2 linked regions of the Schizosaccharomyces pombe genome follow. Changing the gene in region 1 together with any one later gene gives a genetic interaction. Each region holds a gene or a part of one and is shown in the gene's direction. Other genes may lie near its edges.

Region 1 (5,208 bases):
GTGTGATCATTATTTGAATCATTAGTATTTTTTTGAGGTTTCAATTGTTGAGAAACTTTCTTCATTGACTTTACAGAGTTTAGCAATTGCTCGTCCAAACGTTTGTGTTTTTGGAAACCTGTTTAACAATTAGCGCGAAAAAAAAAGGAAAAGATGAATTGAAGGAGACAAAGCATACTTTTAGATTTAGATTGAGCCATCAAAACTATGTCGTCAGGGCTAGGGGCGTTAAATCCTAAAAGTGAACTTTTGCTTAGATGAATCTCAATTTGGTCCTCAAAAACGCGCTTCTTTGCGCCTGTAAGACATTTCGCAAATGAGGAAGGAGGAGCTAATTTTACCTCTTGGGGGTTCTTCTTCAGTTGGTCGCTTTCCACCATTTGTTTTTGGAGTGTGGTTTTATCATCATCGTCAGTAAGATGAATTTCATGAGACGATGGTTGTTCAGAGTCTTTCTTCTCTGCAATGCGAACCTTTCGAAACCTTTGCAACAAAAAATCATTTTCAACGTTTTTCTTATGTTTAGCTTGAATAGGCTCTTTTTCCTTTTCCTTTTCGGTTTTAGGCGGCTGCTGTTGAGTGGATGGAAAAGAAGAATGCAATTTTTTCCGTTCAGCGGCGAGTAATGCGAGCTTGGATGTTTTTTGTTTCTCTATGAATGTTAATTTCTAGTTCTCCACTTTTTGTGACTAATTATAATGGCGTACCTGGAACTACAAAGTTAGTGTCGTTAATTGTGTCACGTTCTTGATGGTCATTTGTGCTGGAGGATGGAAAAAAGTTGGGAGAATCAGAACTTGAAGAGGAGTCTTGTTTTAGGATAGAAGAAAGACCGATGGGATGTTCAGACGGAGGTTTTTGTTTTGCTTTTTTGGAGTTTAACAACTGAGACAACCTAGACATATTTCTAAATGAAAATGATGGATCGAGACAAAAAAATTACTCATTAAATAAGTCTATAATAATATACAAAATGCAAATCAATTGCTCAAAAGCTCATTAGCATGTATGCGTAAAATGTTAAATTGGAAGGTGGATGACGAGAAGTTAGGATGGATTAAGCGAATCAGATATACTGTATATAGTCAGATGGAAAATTGGGTGGTATGATAGACATACTCGAATGAGAAAGGTTTTGGTATGTATACAAGTAAGCAAACAGATTCAAGTTGATGATTAGTGGACTGAAACAAGCGAAAAGAAAAAGGCAAACAAGAAGTATATAAGTGAAGGAGTTGTGGAAAGGAATACCATAACAATGAACGAAAAGAAGTGAAACGGAGAGATAAAATACAAAGATGAATGAAATTTAAAAAAAAAAAAAAATAATAATAATAAAGGAGTAAACGAATTATTCAAGAAAAGAAAATGGAATGAATATTAAAAAGAAAAAACGAGTATGAAGCGAAATCCCTAAAAAAAAACGAGTAAATAAAAGAAAAGGAAGAACGATTGAGTTGAATTTACTTTTTTTTGCTTTGGTGATTGGACTACATTCAAAAGAGTTTTTGTTGAGAATGGGTATAATAGAAGATGGCCAGTTTATTTTATTCTTTCACTTTCTTTCTTTGTTTTAAAAAAAAAAAAATTAATAAAGAGAAACAAAATATTGAAACCATCTCGAAATGCTGTAATGAATAAATAAATTAAATAAAATAAGAAAAAAAATAAAAAAATTTCTATAAAGTTAAAAATAAATAAAATAAAATCAATTTAAAAAAAAAAAAAAAGAAACCAAAAAACGTCGAGCCATTCCTACTTTTGCTCATGTTCTCATCTCACATTTCTCACGTATCATCTTTTCTTCTCTACTTCGGGTTACACACCTTGGGTTACGCTTCCTAAAAGATTATAAATGGTCTTTAGCTACACCTTACTTCTCCTTATTATTGATTTAACAAAACCATCATTGCAGTTCGTCTAACAAAATAATGGTTTACCAACTCTCTATTGCGTAGTTGTGTAATCCGCAGTTTGCAGCATCTCGTAATATTCCCTGCTTATAACGGAATTTCACGATGTATCGCATGCAATACGTGCGGCGTTGAAACAATTGTGTTATTGTGCGCAGTGTGTGTAATACCTGAATGAGATTGCCTCTACTAAGCCATACTCACTTTGAACATGGTTGTGGTTATCTTTTAAATAACGTTTTGCAAAGTGTTATTGTTTTTGCTCTAATTGTTTTTTTTTTCAACAAGTGAAGTTCCCCTATTTAGATCAAAATTTCATCACCCAATAACAACACCATCATGCAAAGAATACTTCGGAATTTTAAAAGACAAAGAAAACTTCTTAAAATTTATTTACAGAAATAAGTTTGTTTCCTAAGGGATACTCACTCTAAAGACAAGATGCACTTCCCCTTCTTCCTCTCTTTCTCTCTCTCTCTCTCTTTGAACTAGTACCACCACTTCGCTTCTCTCCACTTTGAACCTCTAACCTAGCGAGGGTTTTACCGTACTCGCTATCTCGCTTTGCAAATCCACAAAGCTTCTGTATTACATCATAAGAAAGTAGAGTGGGCGCTCATTGGAAATAGCTTACGTAGCTCAGAAAACGAATGGTGCGAAGAAAAGGGGCTTTGCTAGAAGCTGCTCATTATTTGTCTGATTGGATAGCGAGCTATCTGATAGAAAACTACGTAATTCCTTGGATCGCAGTTTTCTCCAGTTTCTAATGCTAACTGACGCAAATGTGATGTAATGGGCTGCGATCATAATGACATGAGCAATTGGACAAGAAGCTATAAATACGAGTCCAAGTTCAACAGTTTAATCATTCAATTCAATTCCAATCAATTTAATTGTCTTAAATATTCAAAATGTCTGATCCCGCAAGAAAGTCTTTTACTGAACAAGGCAAGGAGAAAATGACTCCTGACTCCTCCAAGTCTACCCTCGACAAGGCCAAGGAATCCATTACTGGTGCCTACGACAAGGTCGCCTCTGCTTTTACCTCTGACGAGGACAAGAGCACCTCTCAAGAGGCTCATGACAAGGCTCAACGCTTTGTTGATGACAAGTTGTAAAGAGGTTCTTATGACTTAAAATTCATGCTTTTGGCTGGTGAAACTCAATCCACCAAAGCATCGGGATGATTTCTTTACCGATGAACGGACGAAAATGGTTTGAGGTCTCCTCAATTTAGTAGGTAGTGGTTGGATTGTTTTTATGAACGATCCATCTCATCACTTTCTAATGCGAGGTTGCATCCTTGACCAATTACCATCTAATTTTATGATATATAACGAGGTTACGTGATACCATCATATATATATATTTGCTCGACTTTTTTTACAAATTTTTTTCAAAAAGTGGGTGCTTATATATTCTTTGGTTCAAAATCTTTATCGATTTGAAGTAATGAAATATATTTTCCCTTATACCCTATATACTTTTTACTACCATATCTAGCAACTGTATTGTTTACATATAAGTAACGAGTAACTTAAAAACAGTACTGTAAAACAGTTAGTAGTTGTGACTTGGGTAACAAGTGTTTTCATCCACTGTTTGACATAGGAATGTTACAATGATGAAAACTCAAAACATTAGGATGGTGATAGAAACAACGGTAAAAAAGTTAGGATGTTTTGTTTATTGCCCTTGAATTCTTACTCGTTTCCTTTACCCTTATAATAATAATATTCCATATAGTTTTAGTCTTGTCAGGTTTGGTCAAAACGTGTTTTCGCTTATGAAAAGCAAAAACATTGAATGTTATTTTAAATTGGCATTATTTGTTTACTCTCAATGCCGATTGTTTACAATCTTTTCTGTCAGCTAGAATAGAAACAGGTTATGGAAAAGAAATAAAAATACTCTTAAACGATTTAAAGCGCGTAAATTTTGAAATAAGAGGGATCAAAAATTACAAGTTTGAACACGAAAGCGCCTTATGTGAATGTGAACAACTTAATTCTACCATAATAATTAACAAGTTAATAAAAGAACTAAAATAATGTTTCTACACATCTTCATAAATGTGTAATTTTTTAATATTAAATGTAAAGACAAAGCACAATGCCAGAAAAAATGAAGGACAAAAAATATTAGTCCCGATTTATATTTCTAGAATAGTACAATATCAACTCCATACCACGCCCTAATGTAAGTTATCTGTCACTTTAAACATAATATAAAAAAGAAAAACCTCCAACAATAAACATCATGTACAATGCCGTGTAAATCATATTTCCCAGCTTTCCTTTTGATAAGTTGATTTCCAAAAGCTCGGGAAATACGCCTAGGTAAGCTATATAAAGGAAACCACCAGCCGTGAAAGGAAGGAGTTTATCCTCAAGTTGTAGAAGGAAAGAACCATATGGTGAAGATGAAGATGAAGCAGTGTATATATATGTAGCGACAATTGCTCCCAATAATCCCGTCACCATAGTGATCATTTGCAACACGAGTACTTGCGATTTCGTATACCCATTTCTCAGAAGTATAGCCAAGTCACCAATTTCTGCTGGAATTTCGTGTAATAGAACAGCAAATGTGGTGGATATGCCAATGGAGGTATTGGTAAAGAAGGCGGAAGTGATCGCCAAACCGTCCATAAAATTATGAAATGAATCACATAACAAATTTAAATATACCACAGTTTTGTCGTTATACTCTTCACTAACTTCTTCAACTACATGTCTAATCAAATCAGGCTCGTGACCTTTAGAGTTCTGATCATCTTTGACATTTCGTTTCCGCAATCCTTCCACTCCTTTAACGTCAGTTTGAGTTGAAGAAGCAGAAGGTTTGTTTACACTTGAAGTCTCTTCACCGTCTTTCTTTGGCTTAGAGAGCGAAGACGGACGCTCATGTATTAAAATGCGGATTCCCTTATCCATTAGAAAGAATACTAGGGCTCCAATAAGGATTGAATAAACAGAAGATGCTGGAAAATCTCCTCCATTTGTCGAATACACAGTAGGAAGTAATTGTAGAAAAACATCGCCTAATAAACTACCTGCAGAAACTGCCACGAACAGATTTAACATACTCGTGTCGAACGACTTGGGAACAAGAAGAATAAAAATGTTAGGTGGTATTGCTGTTAAGAAAGTCGCGAGAATTCCATTCGTTCCCGAGGAGTAAGAGAACTGCTTCTCTACAAAGCTTTTAACTGAATTCAACCAAACGCAAGAATTGTTGTCTTTCTCTATAGTAAAAGCCTCTGACGATGATTCAGTATCAACAGGCAGATTAT
Region 2 (6,271 bases), 1.7 Mb from region 1:
TTGTACCCAAGATAGTCAAACGTGATAAGACTTCATTTGTTTCATTCGAAACAAGTGTCATATTAATAGAAATCTGAGCCAAATAATTTGAATGACTTCGAGATAAAATTTTTTCGTAATGGTTCAAATTTTGAACCATAGTGACTATGTGATCCTGCACATCACCAAGATATAAAGCAATTTCACCTCTAGGAGCTACTTGCCATGACTCGTTGCATCGTTTGGAAAGACCTCTAACAACATCTGCCTTATTGGCAAGCAAACGTAGCAAACTCATGATCAGCTTGCGGCATTCACCAACGCGCTGCAACATTCTCTCTTGAGGCTTCACTTCCATTACGTGATCATAATGGATACTCAAAATCATGGAATCAATTGTGTCGACTTCATCTTCAATTTGCTCAATGAATGGAGCGAAAGCATCTGTAGTATCGTCCAGCAATGCATATGCGATCCAATCTGCATTCACTGTCAGATAACCATTCAGTTGACGAATCCTTCGACGAACATTAGCTGGATGCGGTGTCGGGTTCATATGAAAAGTAATTATACCGTCACGAAAGACGACTAGATAAAAATTCAACGGCTTTAGGTACTCAGAGTTTGAGGGTAATTGGTTGAATGAACGGAAGGTAACAAAGTAATACGTTCTAAAAAGCTCGACTTTTTCACGATCCTCTTCGAGAGTAATATCTTCAACGGTTAAAGGATGGATTCCAAAAGCCTTTGCCAGAACTCGAATTTCTTCTTCCTTTGGACAAGAGACATCTAGCCACCAAGTTCCTCCAGAATGGAAAAGGTCCTCAAAGCTTTGGCCATCGTGAACGAGTTCCCACATTTCATGTGAATGGATAGTAGAAGGAAGCTCATCGGTAAAGAATGTAAATCGATATGGTTTTTCAATTTCTGACTTACGAAATTGAGCCCAACGATCACGAACACGATAACGGCCATTTACAAGTAACGGTTCACTCAACTTCCTATTTCTTTCACGACGCTTATCAACATCTTCTACCGAATATTCTTCAAAATTGGCAACCATCTTTTTGGTCCATTCATCAAGGACAGAAAACTTTGGTTCTTGAGCATTGTTTGGAGATATGGGTAAATACAACTCATCCCGAGATAACTTTCGAGTAGCCGGATGATCATCAACAGCACTCTCAGTCACGTCGTTGTTTGCAAACTGTTCATAGTGACTATCATGAGAATTAGCTGATTTAGGGTAGACATGGGGGGATGAAATAGCAAAGTCACTGACCTCAGCAAGTGGACTAGGTTGATCTCTTGTATTCTTCCCATTTTCCGTCTCAAATTCTTTCCTTTGAATGTCCTCTGGATGGCTTTCCGGCAGTGATATATTTTCGATGTCTTCATCGCTTTCATAGTGACGGTGTGGACTTTTCGGGGAAGAACAAACAGAACTAGGCATTGAAGGAGGGTTATTAATATCCTTGTCATCTTCCCCATTACTTGAATGCTCAGACGGTGGTTCTAATAGATCACTATCACTGTTTCCCAATAATCTTGTTCCCTCATCCGCTTCGTCTGGTTGCAAACTAGGGTCCACTGGAAATCGATGTTTAGATTTACTCGAGTGTTTACGATCAGAAAATCTAGGCCTGTTCTGCATCCTAGCATTTTGTTTGTAATAAAAGCCCGTAGGCACTGACCGGGATGTATTGGATGGCATAATTCAAACAGGATTATGGATGCTAAGAATTGACAGGTTGTATAGCAATGAATGTATTATTCTTGGTTTATCAAAATAGTTATAATGCCAAAGAGATCGAATAGCGTTTGGTTTAACAAACTAACGGTTTGTGGATTATTTATATAATTACTCTATTGGTGAGAAAGAGAGGATTTCTGCCCACATTTGATTGAGAGGTTTGAATTTATTAAAAATATTTAAAGAATAATTTCACAAAACTCAAACAACAGAGGAAATGCCAATTTTTAGAGATGTGTTGTTGAGGTGTGGCAGCTAAGACGCTTATCATTGATATGGAAGGCAATTTTTTAAAGACCCCCAAATCATATACCAGACAAAATACAGTATCTTTAAGCATAGTTTTGTTTAATTTCATCAATATTTTTGAAGTGTATTTGTAAGAATCCAATGCAGCATAATTAAATTCATTTCCGGCCTACACATATTGAACCAGGTTCAAATTGGTGCAAATTAATTATTTTCTTGTAAGGATGAATAGAATTGGTTAGTAAATTCTGCTGAAGTTGCACATAAGAGGACGGTTTTGTTTACTAGACAAAATAAGTACCGCGACTTATAAAAAATCTTATCCCAACCAGATTGTCCCTTGTAACAATTTAAAATCCTACTTTTCGTATTACCGCGCAATCAAGTTGCCCACAACGGGACTGCAGCATTGCAGTAGAAACCCCATCAAACGTGTAAGTGAAATGAGCGAACAATAACCCTGAAATTATAAAGTCGTATTATCTTGTTTAAATCAACTCATACCTTTTTCATATAAGAATATCGTATTGTTTCAGGATAACAGAAACAATTTCAGGGAAACTTGAAAGGTTTATGATAAACGCAGTATGCAATTTTAGAACAACGAGAATTAAAAAACTTTACATTTAAGCCAAGAAGTATTAAGTTTAAAATACACAAGTTGAAGGAGCAATTAATCAGCACAATGTAATTTGATCTTTTTTGTTCGTAAAATTACCGTTTGCGGTAATCACCAATCTGTGATGACAACGCCGAAAAGCAGCTTACATAATAACACACACTTTTCAGCTCACTGTACTCCTTTGTAGTCAATGTAATATAATGGAATTTCGCCGCCTCCTACGGATATTCAAGCATATCGCATATGCCATCGAAAACTAAAGAAAAACGCCTTCTTCTTGAAGCTTCCTGCATAGAGTGATAAAAAACCTTCTAAAACTTCTTTGCCCCTAAAGTAAGCCTCTTGTTTCTGTCAAGCTTCCTCAATTATTGCACTCATTGTTTTAACTGTAATCTTTCACGCTTATGTTTGATACTTGGTATCTTGTTTTCGAAAGAAAAACTTATTGTAACATACTTTAAGACAGCAATTCCTCATTCAGTGAGTAAAAACGCGTTTTCTACCGAATTCCTATTGACACTGGGCATTTGTTTGGCATTTGTTTTTGGAAGCCTAATCATACGTGTAAGAAGTATTTTTACGATATTGTAAAAGAATAAGAGAGGTGTAGTGATGTTTCTGTTAGATATCCATAAATCTCAGTATAGTCCGTCATATATTCGGCTGACCAACCAACCTTCCCAACTTTCCTTTCTCACTTCTACCAACCTCAACTAACCACCGCTTTTAATAATTCCTTGCAAATATGAGTAATTCTCGTGAAAACTCGGTGTATCTCGCCAAGTTGGCCGAACAGGCTGAACGCTACGAAGGTATGTGATAAGGATCCGCTGTTGGAAGTAGATATAGCGTAATAGTACGAAATTGTCAATGAAGGGACCTTGATGAAAAGTTATTATATTGCAGTTTGCTACTGTATGTGGGAGTTCTTTGGTTTTTTAATATTGTTGGTCTTGAACAGGTTGCGTTGTTGAATGTTGCAAGGTTGTTTGTTTGATGCGGCTGAGAAAAAGAGGGGTTATGGGTTAGTACGTGGATGACTTGTGTATTTTAAAATGTCCCCAAAATCGCTTGATGAGGTTTAAAATGAGTTCTTACAACATTGTTTTGTTGTTGGACATGTTTATGATATCTGAGGTTATGGACAAGAACGGCTTGCAATTCTCTTGATTTTATGGTTTTCGTAATCATTATTTTTTGTCGCCTTTGTTCTATTTCCTACCTTGCTTCCTTTTTTCTCTTAAAACCACGATTGAACTGCCTTGATTGTCTTATCATTCTTATCTCCTCTTATGATTTGAGGTTTCTTTGTAACCACCAAGACAAAGAAATTCACTAACATCAGGAGTAACACGAAACACCGTTCTGTAGGTAAACCTCAACGCAATTAAGGATATTATTACCTTCATATCTTCACCATGCAATGATAACTCGTTTTGAATTACTGTTTGTTGACCCGTCTATACTTGGCTTTGCTTCTTTCATCTCTCCTTTTTGTTTTTGCTTCTTTGCTAACTGATAATGTATAGAAATGGTCGAAAATATGAAGAAAGTTGCATGCTCAAACGATAAACTTTCTGTTGAAGAACGTAACTTGCTTTCTGTTGCCTATAAAAACATCATTGGTGCTCGCAGAGCATCATGGCGTATTATTTCCTCTATAGAGCAAAAGGAGGAAAGTAGGGGCAACACTCGACAAGCCGCATTGATTAAAGAGTACCGTAAGAAGATTGAAGATGAGTTATCCGATATTTGTCATGACGTCCTTTCCGTCCTTGAAAAGCATTTGATTCCTGCCGCTACAACCGGTGAATCCAAGGTATTTTACTATAAAATGAAGGGTGATTACTATCGTTATTTGGCCGAATTTACTGTTGGCGAAGTTTGCAAAGAGGCCGCCGACAGCTCTTTAGAAGCTTACAAGGCAGCTTCTGACATTGCTGTTGCTGAGTTGCCTCCCACGGACCCTATGCGCTTGGGTTTGGCTCTCAACTTTTCCGTCTTCTATTATGAAATCCTTGACTCTCCAGAAAGTGCATGCCATTTGGCTAAACAAGTATTTGATGAGGCCATTTCAGAGCTCGATAGTCTTTCTGAAGAATCTTACAAAGACTCTACTTTAATCATGCAGCTTCTTCGCGATAACTTGACTTTATGGACTTCTGACGCCGAATACAACCAGTCTGCTAAGGAGGAGGCTCCTGCTGCCGCTGCTGCTTCTGAAAACGAACATCCCGAGCCCAAAGAGTCTACGACTGACACTGTTAAAGCTTGAAACTAAAGCGTTAGCATTTTATCAGTAAACGGATCCTAATGGTCTGATTACTTTTGCATATATGAACTGATACCTATGATTTATCTAATATTCGTAGCCATATAACAAAGTTATCTTCATTATATTCTTCTTGCACTTTATTTCTATCATTTATAAATTTATAACTTTGATTACGTTTCATGAGTAGTTAGTTTGGCTTTGTGGCCTTAAAACCATCAAAGCATACTATTATTATACATTGTACATGCGTTACACTACACCACCCCTTTTTTTAACGTTTAGTTTAGTATGCAGTAGAGTATAGTTCATTTGAGTAACGTTAACATTAAATAATCATGAATTAAGCCCAAATAGATATAGCAACTCTTCTTTGTCAAGTCTCGACAGAGGATTGTTTTCGTTTGAATCCAAAGCTTCTTTAACCAATTGACGCTTCTTACGTTGAACACTGACGATACGCTCTTCAATCGTATCTTTAGTAATAAACCTATACACGGTGACAGGCTTCTGCTGTCCAAGCCGATGAACACGATCTATTGCTTGATCCTCTATGCTCGGATTATAAAATGGTTCCTGTAGAATAACGTGATTTGCAATCGTCAAATTCAAACCCACGCTGCCGGCTTTCAATGAAACCAGCATGACTAAAACATCTTTATCGTTATTAAAAGAATGTAGGGACTTTTGCCTCTGGTTCGCAGACATAGTACCATCATAACGAACATGTCGTATATTTTCTAATTTTAGCATGTGCGATACGAGGCATAAATACTGGGAGAACTGAGAATAGACCAGAATTTTTTCGTTTCTCTTGGAGCCAATTATATCCAAAATTGTTTGTCTTGCTTGATTCAATTTCGAGGAGCTTTTCCATTCGCTCGCCCGCTTGCCAAATTTTTTGGTAAACATCTGGTCAATACGATTTTCCCACCTTAATTTAATGCTTTCTTGTTCTGAAAAAGATTGATTCATATCTAACTCTAATTGCTTTAAAGAGTTTAAAGGACCATGGATTGCTTGAAGGATAGTTGCATCAACTAATGAATCTTGAACTATATTACCTCTGCACATTGGGCACTTTGCTATGATCGTAGAAGTGCTTGATGATCCATACTTCTGGCCGACTAGCATGCTCATACACTCTTGACATGTAAAGTGCCCGCAAGGGATAATAAAAACGGGAGCCAAACAAGGATCCAAACAAACACTACAGTTGAAATCCTGTAGTGTAGCAATTCTTTCTATGGTCAAGGGATCCAAAGACTTGCAAGCATTTCTGACGTTTTCGGAATCTCTAATTCTAAAGCTGTTATCCAAGCTAGAACTCTTAACAAGCCATGGGTGACAACAAAATTGGCGAAGACGGAGTAAAGATACTAATAAGAACCCGTAG

What was found.
Region 2: of hsp9 (region 1) and rad25, extra expression of one rescues a mutant of the other (dosage rescue), as found in Schizosaccharomyces pombe (one study listed by BioGRID).

What each region holds. Positions count from the first base shown.
Region 1 is NC_003424.3:5,318,222-5,323,429, reverse strand, and holds hsp9 (plasma membrane heat shock protein Hsp9), read left to right. Parts: upstream 1-2,753; 5' UTR 2,754-2,824; coding exon 2,825-3,031; 3' UTR 3,032-3,473; downstream 3,474-5,208. Other genes in the region: ski7 (ski complex-interacting GTPase), read right to left, coding at 1-118, 179-652, 708-903; zip3 (ZIP zinc transporter 1), read right to left, coding at 4,130-5,208.
Region 2 is NC_003424.3:3,581,857-3,588,127, reverse strand, and holds rad25 (14-3-3 protein Rad25), read left to right. Parts: upstream 1-3,286; 5' UTR 3,287-3,348; coding exon 3,349-3,415; intron 3,416-4,132; coding exon 4,133-4,878; 3' UTR 4,879-5,000; downstream 5,001-6,271. Other genes in the region: vacuolar CorA family magnesium ion transmembrane transporter Mnr2, read right to left, coding at 1-1,693; rrp1 (ATP-dependent DNA helicase), read right to left, coding at 5,212-6,271. UniProt on the Schizosaccharomyces pombe protein: Acts in cell cycle and stress checkpoint signaling by sequestering signal transducers regulated by the checkpoints. Required for the DNA damage checkpoint that ensures that DNA damage is repaired before mitosis is attempted.